2 linked regions of the Coturnix japonica genome follow. Each later gene encodes a partner of the first gene's protein in a complex. Links are inferred from orthologs where the notes say so. Each region holds a gene or a part of one and is shown in the gene's direction. Other genes may lie near its edges.

Region 1 (10,342 bases):
AAATCCAGTGTTTTAATGCAGAGTTGTCTATGATGGTCTTGAAGCTCTAGGGAGTTTTCTAGTAATGGATCACTGATACATGTTTAATGATATTGTTCTTCACAGGTAATTATTGTGCAGTTTGGTGGAAAACCTTTCAGTTGCTCAAAACTTTCAATTGAACAGTGGCTGTGGTCTGTTTTCCTGGGCATGGGAACACTACTCTGGGGCCAGGTAAAAATAGAATTTTTTCTAAATGTCAAATCCAGTTGTGTTAATGAATTTGTATTTTCCATGTGTAAGAGATTATTCTTTTATACCATTGACTCAAAGCTTGCTGAAGGACACAGATGAACAGGTCTACCTTAAGCATTCTGATCTTTGAAGTGGACTATACATTTGTGGAAATTAACTGTGAATGCTGCCTAAAACTACCTGGGTTAATAGCTAGTAAGTCTGCAGTTAGACATTCCTTACTAATAACTAACTAATCAAGCAAGTTAAAGTCATAACTAGATACTATGTCTGGTTTAGGACAGTTAGAAGGAAGTTTTTCACACAGAGAGTGGTAAAGCACTAAAACAGGTTGCCCAAGGAGGTTGTGGATGCCCCATCCCTGCAGGCATTCAAGGCCAGGCTGGATGTGGCTCTGGGCAGCCTGGTCTATTGGTTGCTGACCCTGCACACAGCAGGGGGGCTGCAACTGGATGATCACTGTGGTCATCTTCAACCCAGGCCATTCTGTGATTCTGTATTTACATTCAGTAATTTTTAAGTAGAAGCAGCTGTAGTTGCCTTTAAATATGAAATTGTCTTCAGCCAGATAAACACAAGAACAACTTCTGTAAGAACATGAGGCAATTCATATGCTAATGTTTCAGTGTATTTGACGTAATGTTGAATGGTTTTCTTGAAAAATGGGTAAGTTATGTGTGCCAGTCGTTTTTCTTTAAAGATATCCTAGAGTAGCAGGAAATGCAGCAAAACTCAAAAGTTTTCTCTTTAAAAATCTTCATTTGCATAATTATGGAATATACTTTTAAGCTGACTGCATTTTCATTATTTTCTTCCTTGGGGTTTCTTTGCTGTTGCACATGCAGCAGTACTTGTGAGCTTATTTACATGAAACTTTAGAACTCTGTGTAGTTTCTCATTAGTTAATGACATGGTTGTCTAAATTCTTTATACCACATGAAGACTTTTCCAGTACGGTTTCTTCCCTTCTAATTTGTAAAGAATACCTTTTCAGGGTGAATTTTAGTTGTAAATAAATACATAAACGCATATTCTAAATGTGGGTATTAACTTTTTAAAGAAGGCTTAAAAATTGAATAGAGTCATTCTGAGGTTTAAAAGCAGCCTCATAGAGAGTCATGGCAGCTTGAAATACCTTTGATCCAAAGCATCCTGGAAGTGCAGAGCTTCCCTGCTGCAGTTCATGCTGCTCTAGTGTCTGATCATAGTGAAAGACCTTTTGACTTTCTGCTAATAGTAGAAACTGAAGTCATAGTAACAATGTCAGTATGAAAGGCAGTTTATCTCGCTTTTGGAGCAGTCTTTTTTCTTTGCAGCTTCTGAAATGGCCTTCTAGATTAATGATGCTCAAGGAAAGCAGGCTTGGAACTGATGTGGATCTGCTAGATGGGATGTATCAAAAGATGATTCTCCTTCACTACATAGTTCAACAGAATAGCCCTGAAGGTGTGGATGAAAAGGAAAGCCGGAAAAGACATATATAGCTTCTGTTTAGCTTCAGCTAGATTAATTAATTAAAAACAAGTAGCGATATAATACAAACAACTAGCAATTTAGTAGCTTGATGTAGGGGTTTTGGAAACATCGCTGACCTTGCAAGTGGATCAATACCGCTCAGGTGACAAAAGAATGCCTGCCTCTTCTGTATTTCTGAATAAGCTGTGGCCACTTCTAATTAAATGTTATTGAGGTTGTGAGAAAGCTTAAGAGTTGTGCAGCCATTCATCTGGAGTGACGGCTCTACACTGATGCACTTAGCCATTTACATCTTTTTTTTTTTTCTTTTTTCTTTCTTTTTTTCCAACTTTGCTAATCGTGTATACAGGATATTATGTCAAGCTGTATGTTATTATGTTTGTTCTTTTTCTTTTTTTTCTTCCCTTAAAACAATAATTCTGATACCTATTTCTTATTCGCTGTTAGTTGATTTCAACAATCCCAACTAGCCGCCTGAAATTTCTTAAGGAAGCTGGTCATGGAACACAAAAGGAAGAGATTCCTGAAGAAGAGTTAGCAGAAGACGTGGAGGAGATTGACCATGCTGAACGAGAATTACGTCGTGGTCAGATCTTGTGGTTTAGGGGCCTAAACAGAATACAAACTCAGGTATGGTCTTGGAAAAGGTAGGATGCGGTGCGTGTTAGGAGGGGAATCACTCTTCTCCATCCCCAGTCCTTTGACTACGGTGGCAGTTTTAAATGGTGTGGATGAGACTCTCGAGGGGATATGGATGACTGTACAATCCCTCAGGGTTCTCTGTTTTCTTCTACTCTAAGTTCAGCTCTTCCCTGTGTATCTACTGTATTTAAACAAAAAAAGTGCCTTTTTTTTCTTTACTTTTTTGTGTGCTATAGATGGGGATGGTCCTCTCTTGTTCTCTCTCTTTCTCGATCTCTCTCTCTCTCTCTCTCTCTCTCTCTTTCTCTCTCTCTCTCTCTTGCTGAGCAAGCTGTCACAATCTCTGATTCCTTGCAGATGGATGTAGTGAATGCTTTCCAGAGTGGAAGTACCATTCAGGGGGCTCTAAGGCGGCAACCCTCCATCGCCAGCCAGCACCATGATGTAACAAATATTTCTACCCCTACACATGTAGTGTTTTCCTCTACTACTGCTTCTACTACTGTGGGGTGTGAGTGTGTGTTCCTAAAGTGCATGAAGTTAACATTTCCTGATTCACATACCTAACGTTTCTCATTTTCTCCTTAGTACTTAAACTCATCGTTCAGGCTTTTCATAGAGCTTTTTCACAAAGTGGAGTCCTCGAGGCTTTTTTTTCTTAGAGGGCTGAGAACAGGTGGAACAATTGCAACAAAAGACTTTCACTTTAAAGCTGTGAGCCTGCACATCCTGTGCCTTCATCCATTCGTGTACAGAGGAATGCTTAGGATAAAACAGGAAAACTGTTGTAAATTTTCGAGTATATGCCGTGAAAGTCACCTTATGTGGGTGACTTCTGTTGAATAAGCAAATTGATTAAATGTATAATCGTAGATCTAGTTCAACTCTCTTGCACTACACAGAGCACAGATGATACTTGAGAAGGTGAAGAAACGGATGGAAAAGCCATGCTGTTTTAAAAATAAGAATGTAGTTAGAGAACATGGGGCACTAAATGCATTTTCTTTGTAGCTTGTGAGGAACTTCTGAGTCTCTGCTTTCTGTGGACTTATTTATTTATTTTTTTATTTTTTACTGAATAACACAACTTTCTCAACACCAGGATTCAGGTGGCGAAACAAGGCTTCCCTTAAATGCATACAGTTCAGAAGAAACATAGCTCATGAAAAAGAAGAAGGGCTTAAGCGCTAAGTAGTGAAACTTTGGTTCACATTTGAAGAGTTTCTTTTCCTTTCTAGGTTCTTCAGACAGCAGTTCATAAGCCATCAGTAGCAGTACAGTTCTTGTCTCACCTCAATTCTGCCCTCTTTATATTGTACTCTAAGTGGCATTTCAGTTTCAGCCTTCCTCTTTGTAGAAGCTAGAGATTTAATTACTCATATGTAGGCTTTAATTATGGAGTCTGAAGATGTGTAACAGTTATAGATATTAGCTCTCAGTATTCAACTATTGCTGAAGCCATTTTCCATCTTAGTTATGTAATATATGTTTAACTTCCCTCTCTTAACTTCCTATAGACCAGTTAAAGAATTGTTTTTAAAAATAACTGTGAGAAGGCTTCTTTTCCCCACCCCTGCCCTGCTTTTTAAGCTTTCAGATTACCAAGTGGATGAAGACCCTTAATTTCAGGAGCTGCCTTAAATGTTTTCTTCTAATTCCTTTATTTTTATGGGGTTTTTGACATGGCTAGAATTTCTGTGTTAGCTTGCACAAGCTAACTCATTCTTCCTTGGCGACACAGATACTTCCCTATCCTGCAAGTGAGTGGTATTGAGAAGCTTAGCTCGCAAATTTGCATGCCTGAAGCTCACAAAATGAAAAGTAGATTTAAGAGTAAGGATATGCAGGATTGCATCTCCTACTTAAAATGGTAATGAGTAACCTGTATCCCTAACTACACTCAAGAACATTAATTAGACATTGAGAACTCTCTAGAGAGCAACTTCATGCCATGCTGTCATTTGAGCAGAACCTAATGGGTACTGCATCATCTCATTGCATCAAATGACCAATGCAGATACAAAGCTACAAAAACAACAACAACAAAAAATACCTAGTTTTTGATATTCACTATGAAATACAGCCTTCTGCTATTCCCTCTAGGAGAACATCTTTTGATAGCTAATGTATATTAGTGGCAAACAGACAAGTTTGTTCATTGTTGTCTTTTTTGGAGCTGTTAGCTAGAAGATAGTTCACATGTACTAAGGTTGCTATTCCAAAGCAGCTGTCAGTCCAGTAAGATTTGGAGTGCTTACTTGCATTCCTTACTATCCTGGTACCTAATATAGGAAAGGCCTGAAGATATCATAGATTGTGCTGTTCGCTCCTCACTTATTCAATTTTATAGTTAGCTCTCTTGCTTCATTATCTTGAGTAGCTGAAAATAAAGCCTTAAAAATGTTAGATGTTTGTCTTTTAAGTGTAAGGTAAAATGCTGGTAGTCTTATTTCAACTGTTCGCAGCCAGACGTTATAAGGATCCTTAGCAGGGTTCATAAGATCATCCAGGTCAGTTGTTTGTCTTTATGTGAATCACACTTTCATTATAGATATCCTTATATTCTTATGATAATTACAGCTCTCCTATTAAGCTGAAAAACTGTTTTTCGTTACTGCTTATGCTGTAACATACCATCTGTAAGGAATGAAAAACTAGTACCGTAAGGCAGTCCTATTTCATTTTGCCACTGAAATCAGTGGCACAGTAGGATGCAACATGCCAGATCTTTATTTGGCATTGCAAACTTTCAGTCTGACACTGTCACTCCTAATTCACTTGGAAAGTACCAAGAGATTTTATGCAGCACTCTGGGTTTGTTTAAGTCTCACATAACGTGCAAACTCTTAAAAAGTGTGCTCAATTTTTCATGTGATAAACAGTAAAGCATTAGATGCCTCTGTAACCATTTATCTCTCAAGCTCATCAACACTATTTCCTGTCTTCTCCTTTCTGAATATCATGTATCCTTCCTGTCCTCTTGAAATGATTTTCATCATCAGTGGAGCTCAGCTGCATGCGTGCAGTATGAAAATGTGGACTTTATAGCTTTTTAGTAAAATTCTTAATGACCACTGGGGCAGGGATAGGGGAAACAACACCTATTTCTGGATATCAAAGAACGTGGTCAGAACCGATGTGGTGTATACAGAGCTTCTATGGTAACAAACTTCGCGCACTGCTGCTGGGGAATCCTTTTCAGTTTGCACTAAGAGGATGTTTGGTGTATCTTAACTCTTCTGAAGTCAATATTCCCATCTTTCTTGACCTTCCAGCTTCATTCCTTCACCTGGTATTGCTTCTTTTTTACTACTAAGGAACTCGGCACATCCTGTTTGGAAGCAGTAATCCTGATATACTTCTCAGCTTGAAACAAGTCATCTGGGATGTCCTAAAATTTGGCTTACTGTTCTGTAACAGTAAGTTGCTCTGTACTACAGAGTTTTGCTCTGCTTCGTATTGTACTGTGCAGGAACTTTTTGTGTACTTTCCTGAAGACTTACTCAGGTTACTTAGAGATGCTGAGTATTGAACAGGCAGAAGCTAACAGAAGTTGGAAAATGTGTTTTGATTGAAGTATTGGACAAAGGGGTCATTGGCTTGTCATTAAATATGTTATATCAAATCAAGAATGAATCCTGAATTAATGAGTTGGTCAGGGAATTGTGGGGCACAGGAGAAGAGGTAGATGAGCAGGTGGCTTCATCCTTCAAACCATAATTGGAAAAGTGTAAATTCCCGTCATCTTGGACATGTACATTTTGTAAAATGAAGTTACCCCTTTTTACTATCCAATTTCGTATCGAATATCGTTCTGAAATGTTTGTTTGCGGTTTCTTTAAACTTGGTGTTCTGATTTGCACGTGTTAGTTAAACAATGAAGAGACTTGAAATTATGTTCAGCCTGGGAATTTTATCCATGCGTTCATTGGAAGCTGAAAACCCAAGTAAGCTAAAGCTGATCACCTGCATCTCTTGTATTTAGTGTTGCTTGAATAGTCTCTTCCAAGTTATAACCCATTGTAGCTACATCTTCAGTGTACAATACAGCATTCAGTTCCCGAGTTCTGGCACTAAGCTTCCAAATCATTAAGTAAGAAACTTTCTCCACTGTGGTAGATGGGTATATACTCGAACATTTACAGCTGTTTATAGTTAGTCATATCCTTTATTGCATGACTTCGTTACTGTCTGGTCATTGTGACATTGGCTTTCACATGCTTGGCTTTTTCATAGTCAGTTGACATCCTAAATTCCCAGCATGAGAATTAGTAACTCTTTTACCCTTTAACTTACTTCCAGCCTTTTCCACCCCCCTCAGTATTCTATAAAACTCACTGAAAATTATTTGATTTGCAAATAAGTAATTGTTGGCCTCATTTAAAGAAGTGCTTTGCCCACGTTAAGTAATTAAGCAATTCTATTGCCATGTCTGAATTTTAGGCCCTTCAGCTTCTTGCAGTACTTTCACTGTTTCTATTCCTACTTTGTAGACTGGCAGTGCTCTACTGAAACGCTTTTCATTTTTTACAGTGTATTGCAAGTTCCACTGCATCACATACAAATTCGAATCACTCATGTCTAGCTGTTTGTGGACTCAAAACTCATAAGAACTATGTCATGGCCAGTAAATCTGCGGCATGTTAACTACCTTTTTTCTTTGTTTGCAGATTCGAGTGGTGAATGCATTTCGTAGTTCTTTGTATGAGGGGCTACAGAAACCTGAGACACGAAGTTCAATTCACAATTTTATGACGCATCCTGAGTTTAGAATAGAAGACTCCGAGCCTCATATTCCCCTAATTGACGATACTGATGCTGAAGATGATGCTCCAACAAAACGCAACTCTACTCCCCCACCCTCTCCCAATAAAAACAACAATGCGGTTGACAGTGGAATTCACCTTACAACAGACATGAACAAGTCTGCTACCTCTTCATCCCCAGGGAGCCCGCTACATAGTTTGGAAACATCACTCTGATTGTAAGCTGAATGTTAACACACTAGCTGCATTGTAAAGAAATTGAAACTGGGTCTCTTCACACTTTATGATGGACAAGATGAGATTCTTGTCTTGGACTTCAACAGAAGACACACTTGTACGAATGTAGATTTATTTTTTTAAACAAAAAAGCTTTCTGCCAGACTGGAGGGTGCTTTTCTGGGGGTGGGAGTAATAATGAACTCTGACAGATGAACAGTAACTCGGCATAAGTGACCTGTGGATCATCTGTTGTACTTAAGAATGGTCCCGAACAGTGTGTTTAGCAGAGCTTTAGTTTATCATGATCCTTTTTTGAGGGGAAAGCTGGGAAGGGCAAGGAGGCCCTGGATCGTTGAATTGATACTTTAATTTCTGCTGTTGGCTGTTAATAATTTGGATTATTTATGTTTATAAATGATACAGATCTGTTTACAAGGTTTGTAGATACTTTTTTGTTCCTGTTCATAGATGGGAAGCTTCCTTATAAATGACGCAGAGAAAAATAATAATAATAATAAATAATAATAAAATAAAAATATTAAAAAAAAAAACTAGTCCTTCAAATACTGCTGTATTTTCAGGAAAAGGGTGTTTCTATTGAAACTGTACTAAATTTTGCCTGCAATTTACCTTGTTAAATATTGTAGATAAATTGCTGATACTAATAGCCAAATAGATAACACTAATGCTTTGTAAAAACATGAGCAGTGGTGTTCTAATGAAGTTATGGCCTCTGTCCTGATTAGTTTCTTAAATACATTTACTACTTAATGGTTTTGAAACAACTGTTTAATTTTTAAAAATTTTGAGAAACTTAACTGAATAACTTTTGTTCAGAACTTAGTAGGATTGTTTAACGCAGGACATCAATATGTGATGGAACTTGCTTGAAACATTTCTGTTATCTCGGGCAAAATGGATTAAATCAAAATACATCAGAATCTTAGTCCTTTGTTTTTGTCTAAACATGTTAGTTTAGTGCTGTCTTGGTGAACTGTGAGTGGAACTGTGATTTTTTTCTAATCTATAAAATCCTTCATGCAGCATGAGGGCTGTTGGCATTTTGAAAGGTTGTTAGTGGGTAGCATACATGTTCTCCTTTTTGTTTTTGAAACTTGTTTGTAAACATGAATAAACCTGCCCTTTTGTTAAAATAAAATTGCAGCGATGGTTTATTACAGATTTTTTTATTATTATTATTTTATTTTTTTTCCCTCAGCTCCATCACAGGAAACACTGAAAAGTACTCTCTTGTATTACTGGTTAAAACTACTTTTAGCTACAATTTCAAGATGGTAACAGCCCCACTATAAGTAGGACTTGCAGGTAAATGGAATTGCGGTGGCTGCCTCAGAATGAATGTAAGGTTAAGGTACTCACAAGTCTTTGTTGAGCCCAAAAGATACTCCTTGGCAAATAGTCTGGCTGAGATTCCAAGATGTGCTTATAGATCTCTGTATCCCTTTGTAAAGGGAGGAAAAGAAGAACTGACCGATGGCACCAGTGAAAGTACATTTTCCACTTGAATAATATGCACCAAAACTAACCTGCTAGTGCTAGTGATAGACTGCAAAACCCACGGTCTGCCTCCGCTGCACTCTTTAAACAGCTAAGGATGGTGGAACAGCGCTGAATTTGCTGGATCATGCCACGTTTTCCCAGTCCGTTACTGTTCAGAAGAGCATGACTTTAATACTATGTTTCTTTTCAACAGCTCTGTGTTCATAAACATAGTATTTGCGTGGATCGCTTTTCTTCTTTCCCAGAGTAATCCGTAATATTGAAGACTTTTTTTATAGAGGTCGCTTGGGAGGAATTACATTGGTGATGAGGGAGGAGGTAACAATACTAGAGCAAACTGCAGGAGCGAGCAGGTTAAGGAGACAGGCTCAAGCAGATCTTTTCCTTTGTGGTGGGATAACTTCATGCTTGCGTTTGTTCTTCAATGGCTAATGTTGAATGTGTAGCACTGTATCCCACTGTCAACCACATCTGAATTCAGTCTTTTCTAGTTTACTGAAGAAAATACACTGAATTCTAGGCAAGGGGAGTTTGCACTTGACACTTTGTATAGTAAGTTCTCCCGTGTGTTTCTAGCACTTCTCTCACTTCAGATTTCTTACCTAGAGTGCTTGGTGGGGTAACCCTTTTTATGTACGTGGTTTTTCTCTCTACTGCTGAAGTCAGATAAGCATTGGTTTAAAATGTGTAGAGTTTCATTACCCATAACAATACACCACCGTGAGAGGAAGATTCACTGTATCATAGTTTAACATGAGTTTTGAAAACAGACTTTAGTTTTTCCCTCTTCTAGTTGTGCTCATGACTGCGTTGTATCTTTTGGAATAAATTCTACACGTAAGCCTTTTGGGGGACAGGGGAGCAAATGTAGGCTTTGTACATCAGTGGTCCCTCTTGATTCTGTTAATATCAGTGTGCTGTTCTTTATAGGAAGTGTAAGTGAAACCTAAATAAGGAAAAGTTGTTGGGGGGGGAGGGCTGGGGGGAGGGGATGCTTTCTTTGTGATCTCAAGAACTCATAAACATGTTGCCTAGATTATGAAATGGTTATCACTAAGCTACTGAGGCCTTCATTGCCTTTCTGGTTGTAAGGTTTACTTGTCTTTATTGTAACTGAAATAAATAAATGTGCTGTTCATCTCAGTCTGTATGGGGACTGAAATTCTTGAATGTCAGTACAGGACTGATTTAAACCTGAAACACATGCTTGTTCTATAAAACAGCTCTTAATGCCATGACTTTAAGCTCATTCTTTTTAAAGAAGTTATAAGTGGTATTATGATCACGCAATAGTAACTAACCTAAATGTAGTTTGAGGCTGACTTCTGTTTGAATTCAGTGTCTTGAATGGGTTGTCTAGTATATTTCTTTATAAGACAAATCTCAGGACACTTAACTTCGGTTTGACCTTGACAGGAAGAGGAAAATCCTTCAGCATGGAGTAGTCTGAAGAGAATAAAGGAAACAAATGCTAGAATGTCAAA
Region 2 (10,950 bases), on another chromosome or scaffold:
CTGCCGTCTACTTCTGATGACATCACCCACGAATTCACCTCTGCATCCTGCTGATAGCTCCAGATGTTCAGCTTTTTCCTTTGTGCCTTCTCAGAGGCTTCCTGCTGTAACCCACAGCTTGTGGGGGTGAGCTGGGGACAGCCACATGTATCCTGCCTGCGGCTGGATGGAGCTGCTCCAGATGAGAGCAGGAGGATAATGTTACCCCTTTCCTGAGGATAACAAGGGCAGGGAATAGCCCTTGTGTATCTGCATCTGGAAACCTAAATCTGTTGGACCCGGTCTCCTAAAAGATTGGGTGGAGAAAGCATTACTGCATGGCTGAGCTGGACTGCGATTGAAATGAATAACTTCAGGGTTGGGTCAGGGAGAGGGGAAAAATCAACTTCATTCCTCTTTGTTTTATGTCTTTCCTGCAGAAAATTAGAAGGCAGATTTCAGACTGATGAAATCAAGTATGCCAGGATTTCTCCTTGGATTTGTTTTTCTCACTCTCATTGTGAATTGTTCTCTCTGGAATTACCTTTTCTGTCACAACGCTTGTTTTGTTTGAAAGGACATTTCTCCTTAGGAAAAAAAAAAAATCAGTTCAAACACTTTGACCATTTCTGACGGGAACATTTGAGCATGTAGGAGGATGGGAGGGTGGCTAGAAATAACCAAACTGCCATTACCCAGTGGAGCTGAGATGTGGAAAGCCACCTTTCTGCAAAGTAAGAAAGTACATCTATATTCCTTTCTCACTGCTAGCCTGAAGTCTTCCTTTTTCCTCAGAAAATGATTTTACAAGCTTGTCTCTGGTTTTACAAGCTTTTCCTCTCTCTCTCTCATAGTTCAGAGCGCCATTTCTTTAGTTCAATCTTCTTTTTTTTTCCTCCCACCTCCTTTCCTGCTGCTTCTTGCTTCTCTGTCATTTTCTTAGATTTCTTTGCACAAAATCACCTGGGTTTCTTCTTTTTCTCTCTCTTTTTTCTTCTCCCTATCGGCATTTCCTCACCATAATCTTAGATTGCTGGCAGCAGGAGTTGCTGCATCCAGCAGCTCAGTCCTGCAGCTCCATGTCCTCATGCCCAGCCAGCAATGATGCTGAGCCTGTGTTCCCAATATAGACACTTGCTTCTACACCCACTCTGGAGTGTGTGTAGGATGAATCCTAGCCAGCAGTCCCAGACCCTTAGGCAGAAAGGGCATCTGTAAGGACTGCCAGAGAACCTTCCTGGTGACTCAAAGGGATGGGTGTCACCTCTGTCCTGATGGCTCTCCTGAACAGCCCAGGGAGGAGCCGGTGTTCTGTTATCTCATTAGATTAACAGTATTCCCCACCTGCCTTTAGGGAGATGAGCATGATGCATGCATGACCTAAGGGCCAGAGCTACTTAGGATTCTGTAAGGCAAGAAACAACTCCTGAGGGCCAGCAGCTGAGTCTGAGTCTGGCCAGCCTTATGTAACACATAAGCATACACACATGCTGCATTGTGTTTGCTCATTCATCTCTGCACATACAATGCAAACGCAGTGTGATCATGCACTTAATGCGGTCTTGCAAGGCGGAGGCATTGTGTGTGTGTCTACAAGCTGATTTGAGCCAGCTGAAGCATAGATCTGTGCTTTTGCTGGCATGTCAAAGTCTTAACCAGCGTTATTCAGTGTTTCTCAGCCCTGACAACAGCTGCAGTAGCTGAGTTTTGCTGCTAGACGTCATTGAGCATTTCATGCTCTACCCTACATTTTCAACTTTCCAATAATAGATTCCAAAGAAGGTGACTGTGAGTGAGCCTTCCAGAGGCAAAGCTTTCTTCAAGTGCCAAAGTGTATCAATAAATACATCAAAATAACAGGATGTCTTAAACACTCCCAGTTGCAAGACGACAGCTCCAAGATGACACACGTGCACACGCACAAAGACAACCCTTCCCTGCTGTTCTGTAAAGCACAGGAACTGCTGATTTTTCTTCCTCTTTGTTTGCTTTGAATCTGATTTTTTTTGCAGTCCTGCTTTTGCTGAAGTCTCAGAATAACCAAAATGCTGGGTGAAAAGATGGGTCTTGAGAGAAAGGGGAAATGCAAGGAGTTTGAGTTAATGTTTGGGAACTTCAATAAGCCTGAGCTCCCCTTGCTGTTCACAAGGTTAGGAATCACTATGCCCACACAAGCAAGAAAAAACATCAATAAAATCATCACCTATAAGCCATTGTATTACAGATTCACAGAACTATAGGGGTTGGAAAGGACTTCTAGAGATCACTGAGTCCAACCCCAAACTAAAGCAGCTTCCTTTCAGCAGGTTGCACAGGTAGGCGTCCAGACATGTCTTAAATATCACAAGGAGACTCCACCACCTCTCTGGGCAGCCTCTTCCAGTGCTCTGTCACTCTGACAGTAAAGAAGTTCTTCCTTGTGTTAGCATGGAACTTTCTGTGTTCCAGTTTCTGCCCCTTGTTCTATTGCTGCCTGCCACCAAGGGTCCATCCCCGTCAGTATGACTCCTGCACTTTAGATATTTATAAACAGTTATGAGATCCTGAGTTTTCTCCAGGTTGAATAGTCTCAGGTCTCTCAGCCTTTCCTCATACAGGAGATGCTCCAGGCCCTTACTCATCTTTGTGTCCCTCTGCTGGACTCTCAAACAGCTCCCTGTTTCTTTTGGAACTGGGGAGCTCAGAACTGGACACAGTACTCCAGATGAGGCCTCACCAGGGCAGAGTAGAGGAGAATATCACCTTTCTCAACCTGCTGGCTGATTTTTCTTGATGCACGCCAGGACACCATAGGCCTTTTTGGCCACAAGGGCACACTGTTGACTCATGATCAGCCTGTTGTCCACCAGGACACTCAGGTCCTCCTCAAAGCTCCCTTCCTGCAGGCCAGCCCCTAACCTGTACTGATGCCTGTGGTTATTCCTCCCTCGCTGCAAGACTCTACGTTTGCTTTTGTTGAACCTCATCAGGTTCCTCCCTGCCCAACTCTCTAGTCTGTCCAGGACTTGTTGAATGGCAGCACCTCCTCCTGGTATGTCAAACACTTCCCTCAGCTTCATATCAGCAGACATGGACTCTATCCTCTTACCCAGGTCACTGATGAAGATGTAGAACAAGAACAAATCTAGCCCCAACCCACACAGAACACCACTAGTTATAGGCCTGTTGTAACAACTCAGTCTGGTGGAATCCTTCCCTTTGCAGTAGAACACTTCCCTTACCATCAACCTAGTTAACCCAGTGCTGGCTAACTCTTTTTCTATACAACTCCACTGTAAGTTGTATGCGACCCGGTAAAAGAGGATATACTTGTGCACAGAGAAAAAACAGCTTTTCATTCCATGCTAGTCATGCTGCATACCTGAGATACTGAGTATATACATGTCCATGTACATTGAGGATTGCAGTAACTCTGGTTAACTTCCCTAAGAGATTCCTGAAGAGTTTGAATTGGTCAGCATTGTGATCTTGTCACCAGTCATGGATATCTTCTGCTTTGGTTTCTTGCGTTATATGCTCACAGCACTTCTGTCTCGAGCAAAAAAACAGATGAGTTACACAATTGTGGGGAGAAGATGGAAGGAAACAACAGCGTGCTGAAGCCTCCTGCTAACTTCTGCCCAGGCCTCTGGCAGCATGACTCACTGTGAGCTGCCATGGTTACGAAACAAGTATTACTGTGCAGATACAAACCATGCTCAGAGGCAAGTACATCGCTGACTGGTTCCAAACTTGGAAAACACTCGGGTGTAGGTAAGGCCTAATACCAAGTGGGTGTTTGCAAAAATGAGAGTTATAGCAAAATCCTCCGGAGCAGGAAAAACAGCATGCAGAAAGCAGAGGGAAGGGAAGCATCATGTGGAAATTTTGCTTTCTGGTTCTTTTTGCTTATTCCTTCTGGTTTTCCAGTGCTACTGTCAGAATTGTTGCACAGAAAAACAAACAAAGGGAGAAAAGAGGATGTTTCTGTACCATGGCAAGAAAACAAATAGTAGTGTCGTGGATGATTCAGCTGGCAAGGATAGTGAGTCATGGAAATGCAGCATGGAAGCACTCAAGTGCAGGATACGCAGCACAGTGGAACATCTGATGTAGAGTGAGTTTAGTATCATGGCACCTTTAGAGAGCCAGGACTGCCAACAGCCCCAACGTTTCTCTCCTGTGAGCTCAGCAGAATGGAAGCTTACCTGAAGTGTCGGAGCAGTGCTTTTGTCAGCTTTAAAGGAGTTGCAGGGTTTCCATGTAAAAGGTGTGCCTGATCCTCGAGTCACATCAACAAGGAAAGCACTCTCATTTTATTTCCTGAGAATTAACCAAGCAAAGTACTCAGGGATGCAAAATCAAGCGGCTGCACCCTCATGAAACAAGCTATATTAATAGGGTTTAACAGCAGGGATGTTTTCCCTGGAAAGAGAAAACAGCTTCTGATTGTATTAGTGTCCTCCCAGGGCCCTTCTCTGGCTGGGAGAGAAGGCTGGGCAATCTTTGGACAGCTATTCTAGGAGATCTGAGCCTGCAGAGCTCTCTGGAGTAGGAAAAGAGGACTCAGCACAAAGCAGAAGATACACTTTTGAGTGATTTCCTTCTTTCTTTGTCTTAATTCCCAATGTGTTCCTGTGCCATTGATTTTTTTTTTTCAGTTTCCTGCAAATCTCCCTACCTTGGATACATGTTAAACCACTCAGCAGTCAACCCCGACTGTCAATGCCACCCCAGGAGGGATAACAGTCCAAAATCCGCTTTTATGTCACCTAAATCAGGGTTACAGTCAGCTGGGGTTACCAACATGGTACATAACTAGTCTATCTGACCCCAAATCAGATTGGGAAATAGAGGAAACCAGGGTGACTACTCACAGCTCACCAAACAAGCCTCGAGGTGGGACCACGTTGACTATTTTTAGGGACAACTGGCAGGTCCAGTGAACCGGGAGGGAATTTTTGAGCTCTCTCCGCAGTCGATTTCACTGCTAACCTGAGGCAAATGCATTCACTTCTTGTGGCTTCAGCTTCCAGTCTGTGTAATCAGAGGGGCAGGGTCCTTTATTTGGGAAAAAAAAAACCCACAAACAAACCAGAATAAATCCCCACAATGTTATTTTACTTTCTAAAATATTTATCAACAAATGCTCTTCTGTGCTGGTAGGTCCTAATTACACATAGTCTCTTGCTCCAAACCTCTGCATTATGAGGCTATCCACGTGAGGGAATCTCTCAGCATTTTCACCTGTTTATTACCTACTGCACCATTTCACACTGATAATATAAGAAGTGCAATACTTTCACTGGGTAAATTCCACACAGAAATCCAAAATCCAATGTGGGATGTTGGGGGGAGGGGGGGGGGATGGGGAGGGAAGACCTGTTGGTAAGCTATGGTTGTGTTTCAACTTATTCCTTGTGGGTAAGTGATAGTTGTGTTTCAACTTATTCCTTGAGGGAAAAATTATTGGTTGATGCTGCTCCTGGCCTGCCTTCCTGTGTATCTGCTATTTGTAGAGAATGAAGAATAAAAGTGAGGTTTTAGTTGGGTCATGGAAAACTGATTTCAGGAGTATCACCTCAGCCTCAGCCCTGTGTTTGCTGGGACACAAGTAAAGAGACTGGAACTGTGCACGGATGCACGACCTGAGGATGGTATTTGCTCTCTGCACCCCCATGGCACCGCCAGGCCCACCTCGAAGCGGGCACAAGATGGCGCCTGAGGTGAAAACGCAAAGCCCGCGCCGCGCATGTCACGTGACCCCTCCATCTCCGCCCAGAGCAGCGGGGCCGCCCCGCCCAACTCTCGCGAGATCCACCGGTGGCGTCGCGGGAGCCGGCGCTGCGCTGCGGTAGGAGGTCGGCGGAGAAGGACGGAGCCGGAGCCGCTTCGCCGCCCTCCTTCCTCCCTTCCCTCCCTCCCTCCCGCCTCGCTCCCCTCCTCAGCCGGGAGGATGCCTCGCTCCGGCCCGCTCCCCGCCGCCTTCTCCCTGCTGCTGCTGACGGCCGCGCTGCTGCCGGCTCCCTCCGCCGCGCAGAACGGTGAGGGCGGCGTGAGGGGAGCGGAGCGGAGGGGGGAGGGGGCGCGTTGCCATGGGGCCGCCGTTACTGTGGGGGCGGCTACGGCGGGGGACGAGGGTCATGGCGGGGCGGGGGAGGCCGTACGAGGGTTTCGGGGGGAATGGGGGTCGCTGTGGGGTGGGGGTTGAAGCCGCCCCCCCCCTCGCCCCTTTCCGCCGTTCTGAGGTGCTTGGAGCCCGGCAGAGCGACCATCTCCCGCCCACTGAACCCGCATCTGCCGAGTTGCCTTCGGTGATTTATAATGCAATAAAGTCGTAGTTCCTTAGCAACTAAAGGAGGTGCTGTGATAGGAGCGGAAAAGAGAGGAGGCATAAAAAAAAAGAAGAAGAAAAAGAAACCACCCTTCTCTGTGCTTTATAGGAGAGTGTGAGCTAAATGTGGCGCCTGTGCCTCCTCCCCGATGAGTTTGCATGGCGGTCGGGGGCTGTCGGAGCTCTGTGCCAGCTCCTCGTTGCTCCCTGTGGCACTGTGAGCTTTGAGGTGGCCATGAAGGAGGGGTGGGGGCTCCTGAGCTGCCCCGGGTCCCCTGTGTGCCAGTAGAGCAAGGCAAGGGCAGAAGCTCAGCTGCAAGGTTTGTGTGCGTTGAGGAAACCTTACCTGCAAAGAAACCACACCTTGCATACATTCCTATTGCCGCTGGCTTGTGGTCACTTCATCCTCTCACCTCTCCCTTTCCTCTCTGCTGTATAGTTATTGCGCTGTCTTGGTCTTTCCTCCTCTTGAGGTGGGTTTTGCTTTGCAGCATGAGGTTGGCTTTGACCCTTTGCTGCAGGAAAGAAGCCCTGAGGCCTTCAGCCCTGTGATAGCAGACACAGATGTAAGAAATAACAACCCAAAGATCCCAGATTGGATTTATTTCCTCAGTACTTGTGCGTTTTGCAGTCTGAAACCAGTGACTGCTAACCAAGCACCCATGTTGTTGCATGGAAAAAACCTGTGGGCATTCTGTATTGTGAAGGCCTTTCCTAAGGAGCACCAGATGGTCAGTGGCCAGTTGGATTGCTGTGACTACAAAGTCTGCTTCTGCATTGATGCAGTGTGCGCTATTGCAGCATGGTGTCAGCAGGGTTAATCTGCCCACGTTGTGTTTCCCATGGTATTTGGGTGAAGTAAGGTGACAGGAGTTAAATAGGTTGTGTGCTTGAAGCTGCTCATGTGTTGAACTAGCAAGCAAGGTGTCAAATGCAGGCAGCTGATATGAAGATGCTAACTAGCTGCTTGATAGGCAGTGCAGACACTTGGGTTTTAACACTAGTTCTGTGTCTTAAGCTCAACAGTTGAATACGTTCTGGGGGTAGTTGGAAGGTCTTAACCTTCCTCTGCTTCATTCTTGGTTTCCACTGCTGCCGTGAGGGTAACAGTAGCAGGTTGTGGTATGAGATGAGATTACAGACCCCAGGAGTTTTCTGAGAGCTCATTAATTTTTATGTGGTTAACTGGGGTTGTCCCAGCAATAAATGCTGGTGGAGACTCTGAGCATCTGGAATATACACAACAAGTGAGAATCTAATCTGGAGCATTCCAAAGGCAGAGATCCTTCTGAAAAAGGTGCATTGCTGCAGCTGAATTTCTGCTCTCCATTAAGTGCTGTCATAGCAGAGAAGCAAGTTTAAAGGCTCAGCTACAGAGGAGCTGATTTTTCTGCAACTAGTGGCCAGTGAGATGCTTCCTGAATCAACTCTGCTTTTGCTTTGATGTGAAGAATAAGCACAGCTGTTTTCTGGGTTATAGGTACTCCTGGTAAGCTGTTCTGAAAGTAATTGAACTTGAAAAGGTATGTGCAAATCTGTCAGTGGGAACTATCTAAACATTGCCAGGGGTGTGCTTTGAAGGTGTGGGGAGCAGTAACCCCAAATGTACACCCAAGAATCCCATGATGTGTTATTGATACGTGGTCATCACCTTAGTGAAAGATAATATGGCAGGGGTTGTTCTACTTACAGCACCACTGGGTTACATACCTGTTGAAGCTGCAGGTTGTGGACTGCTCAGCCAGCAATATGCAGCAAAGGCCAAAGTGCCTTTTTTCTTCTGACAAGAGAAAAGGAGGCTTAGAAGAGAGGCGAGGAAGCACCAGGAGGAGCAGCTGGCAAGAATCAGTCTGTCAGGAGGGTCTGTATAAACCTTTAGTTTCCAACTGGTGTTAGTTGGAGAGTCACCACTTCAGAACAGTGTTCTCCTTATGGAAGGGTGCTTGGCTTGACTCTTTGGTGGTGTACACCATGCCTTCCCTGGTTGCTGGTTTTTGACCTTGGCAGCTGCTTCCTTCAGAACCAAGACTTCAGGATACTTGCACCTCGTAGGGTTTGGTTTTAAAGGAGCATGGCTGTATCTCTGCTGATAGCTCAACTATCTACTCCAGCTGCTCCTGTTAAATTTGCAGCCTTTATCACAGCAATACACAGTCTAAATCATTATCGCTTCTCCCAGTTCTTCCATTTCAGAGCTCTGGTCTGGCAGCGTGCACTTAAAAGCAGGTTTTCGTGTCTTGTCTGAAGGACAAAATTGTTCAAATCATGCTTTTTTTACATTGTGAATGCTGTTTCTGGCTGCAGCTTTGCAGCCATTTTGCACTGATTGCCTTCTGGTATTCTGATGTGATTTTAGCGGTCCCCAGATAAAACTAAGAGATGGTTTCATACAGCATTTATGGAGCGTGAGTGTGGGCTGAGCATCGAGGAAAATGTTCAAAGTTCTGTTCTTCTCCCCACCGTTTCTATTCTCCTTCCTCCTACAACTCCCGCATAGGAAACTTAAATACAAGCAAGATGACTAAGATGTATACGCTTGAAAATCGCATCGAACTCTTCCAGTTCTCTGCTAACAGGTAAACGAGGCGTCAACTGCTGGTACTGGCACTTCAAACAATAGCTTTAATTATGTCAAGGAGCAATCCAAGTGGAAGTGCAGCTAAGTGCTGGAGTACACTGCGAGCATTAACTGGCCTTGCAACAGAGTCCTTCAGGAAGACGACTTGTTATGCTCATGAATGAGGTGCATTCTCTCCTTCACAATGAGCTGTTTCTTTTGCTGTAAGCACTCGTTTAGATCGTAAAAAACCCTTGCATTGTAAAGGACAATGGTAGCCTGTGATTCATCCTTCGGTTGTAAAACCAGTGTGGAAACTGCTCAGCTCCAAGTGCTGGAGGCACTATTCCTATTGGGGAACCTCTTAAGATGAAGGCTGGATAAACAGATTGTGCTTATTTTTAACTGGAAAGGTCTTTTAGCTGTGAACCTAAACCTCTTCTGGCGTTTTATTCCTTACATCCATACAGTTCGGAGTGTTCCCTTTCCATCAGCGTTTATTTCCTGTGTTAGGTCGGTTGTCACGGTCATTCTGTGTAAGTTGGATTTTTCCTTAGTGTTTCTGATGCTTTTCAGTCACGTTTTCAGGAATGTGATGAGTCGAACTGGCCGCAGTTCCAGTTGGGGCCGGCCCAAAGCTCAGTGGAGTGGAAGGATTGCTCCGTGCATCTTACAGATGGCATTCCCATTTGCATCACAGGACACATGCGTTTATTGCGGTATGTTTTTGACTCGTGTCCAATGGGATCCTTTACAATGGCCACATCTTACGTGGCAGGACTTGCTTAGTGTTCCTTGGCTGCCTACACCAAGCAGTTCCTTGGTGCTCCTGCTGAATGGCATCTTCTGATGGCTGCTCCCACTTGTCGTCATCCTGTTGGATCTAATGGAGCACCCACCTCTACTTGCCTTCAGCTTGCCTTGGTTCTGTCAACTGAAACAACACTATGCAATCAGCTATTTTATTTTAATCTATGTTTCATCTACTTGCTTGCATACATGAAAAATAAACATCTGATACGCAAAGCTGTGTCAATGGAGTTTTTTTTTTTGGGGTAGGAGGCTTTTGTCTGGGAGCAGTAATAATTGCCCTGTAGAAAATAAGATAATTGCAGCTGTTTTCTCTTCTGTTTCCATCTGTGTCTTACTGACTTTGCAGTAGATCAGGTTGTCATGGATAAATGGCCTCAAACCATGGCAGGGCGGTGAGGCTTAGTTCATCAGATAGGTTTCTCCCATTGTCTTCTTGGGCACTGAACTGGGACGGACAGTCTGCAGTTCCAGTCTGGTGGAGGAGGATTGGCTGCTTAAAGTTGGGAGTTGTCAAAACTCAGCATCAAAAAATAACGTCTGGTTGTTCAAGTCGAGATCGTTGGCTGAACCATTTCTTATGTGCCTTCATCAAAATCTTACTTGGTATTGAATGCTTTCACTTCCTCAGCCCTCATGTTGTGTGCTGCATTGTTTCTTTTGTCGTTAGGGGAGATTCAGTCTAATTAAATCTAAAAATAATTTCAGCCTGGGAGTATTTATCCACTAGTAAGATAGACTGTTAAAGATTCATGTTCTCTTGATAAGCTTGAAGCTTTTTTGGGTCATCTGTGTGGTTGAAGTCACCGCTTCAGTGTTGACGCAAACTCATTGGAGCAGAAAGATGATAACTTTGGAAGCTGGGAAGGATTCATCAGGCGGTGTCAGAAGGTGTGGATAGCTGCTATCATTAAGAATTAGAAGATTTTGAGAGTGAAACTTTTTTTTTTCACTGTTCCTGTTCAGATTGCAGTGGAGAACAGCACTGAGATGTCAGTATCATGTTTCGGCTGCAGCAAGGTTTGTATGCGTGGGGAGGAACTGAGCAGTGGGCTCTGATCTGGGTTGAGTTATAGAATGGCCTGAGTTGATAAGGCCCACAGTGCTCATCCAGCTCCATCCCCCTGCTGTGTGCAGGGTCACCAACCAGCAGCCCAGGCTGCCCAGAGCCACATCCAGCCTGGCCTTGAATGCCTGCAGGGATGGGGCATCCACAGCCTCCTTGGGCAACCTGTTCCAGTGCATCACCACCTTCTCTGTGTTGCTGGGTAAATAGGACCCCCATTACACT

What was found.
Region 2: the proteins of ATP2B1 (region 1) and NPTN are in contact, whole or in part, in a cryo-EM structure (PDB 6A69), measured with the Homo sapiens proteins. The link is inferred for Coturnix japonica from reciprocal best matches to the Homo sapiens genes ATP2B1 and NPTN. Residues at the interface, in NP_001353449.1 of Homo sapiens: Phe954, Asp955, Ile956, Asp957, Glu996, Arg997, Asn998, Val999, Glu1039, Gln1040, Leu1042, Trp1043, Ile1045, Phe1046, Met1049, Gly1050, Leu1052, Leu1053, Gln1056; in NP_036560.1 of Homo sapiens: Arg245, Ser246, Asn248, Arg332, Arg334, Pro339, Pro342, Phe343, Gly345, Ile346, Glu349, Ile350, Ile352, Leu353, Ile356, Ile357, Tyr360.

The regions. Positions count from the first base shown.
Region 1 is NC_029516.1:39,484,398-39,494,739, reverse strand, and holds the end of ATP2B1 (plasma membrane calcium-transporting ATPase 1), read left to right. Parts: intron 1-105; coding exon 106-213; intron 214-2,157; coding exon 2,158-2,340; intron 2,341-2,709; coding exon 2,710-2,823; coding exon of another isoform or gene 2,824-2,863; intron 2,864-7,022; coding exon 7,023-7,334; 3' UTR 7,335-10,001; downstream 10,002-10,342. UniProt on the Homo sapiens protein: Catalyzes the hydrolysis of ATP coupled with the transport of calcium from the cytoplasm to the extracellular space thereby maintaining intracellular calcium homeostasis.
Region 2 is NC_029525.1:1,569,599-1,580,548, reverse strand, and holds the start of NPTN (neuroplastin), read left to right. Parts: upstream 1-5,760; 5' UTR 5,761-5,914; coding exon 5,915-6,002; intron 6,003-10,645; exon of another isoform or gene 10,646-10,660; coding exon of another isoform or gene 10,661-10,679; intron 10,680-10,950. UniProt on the Homo sapiens protein: Probable homophilic and heterophilic cell adhesion molecule involved in long term potentiation at hippocampal excitatory synapses through activation of p38MAPK. May also regulate neurite outgrowth by activating the FGFR1 signaling pathway.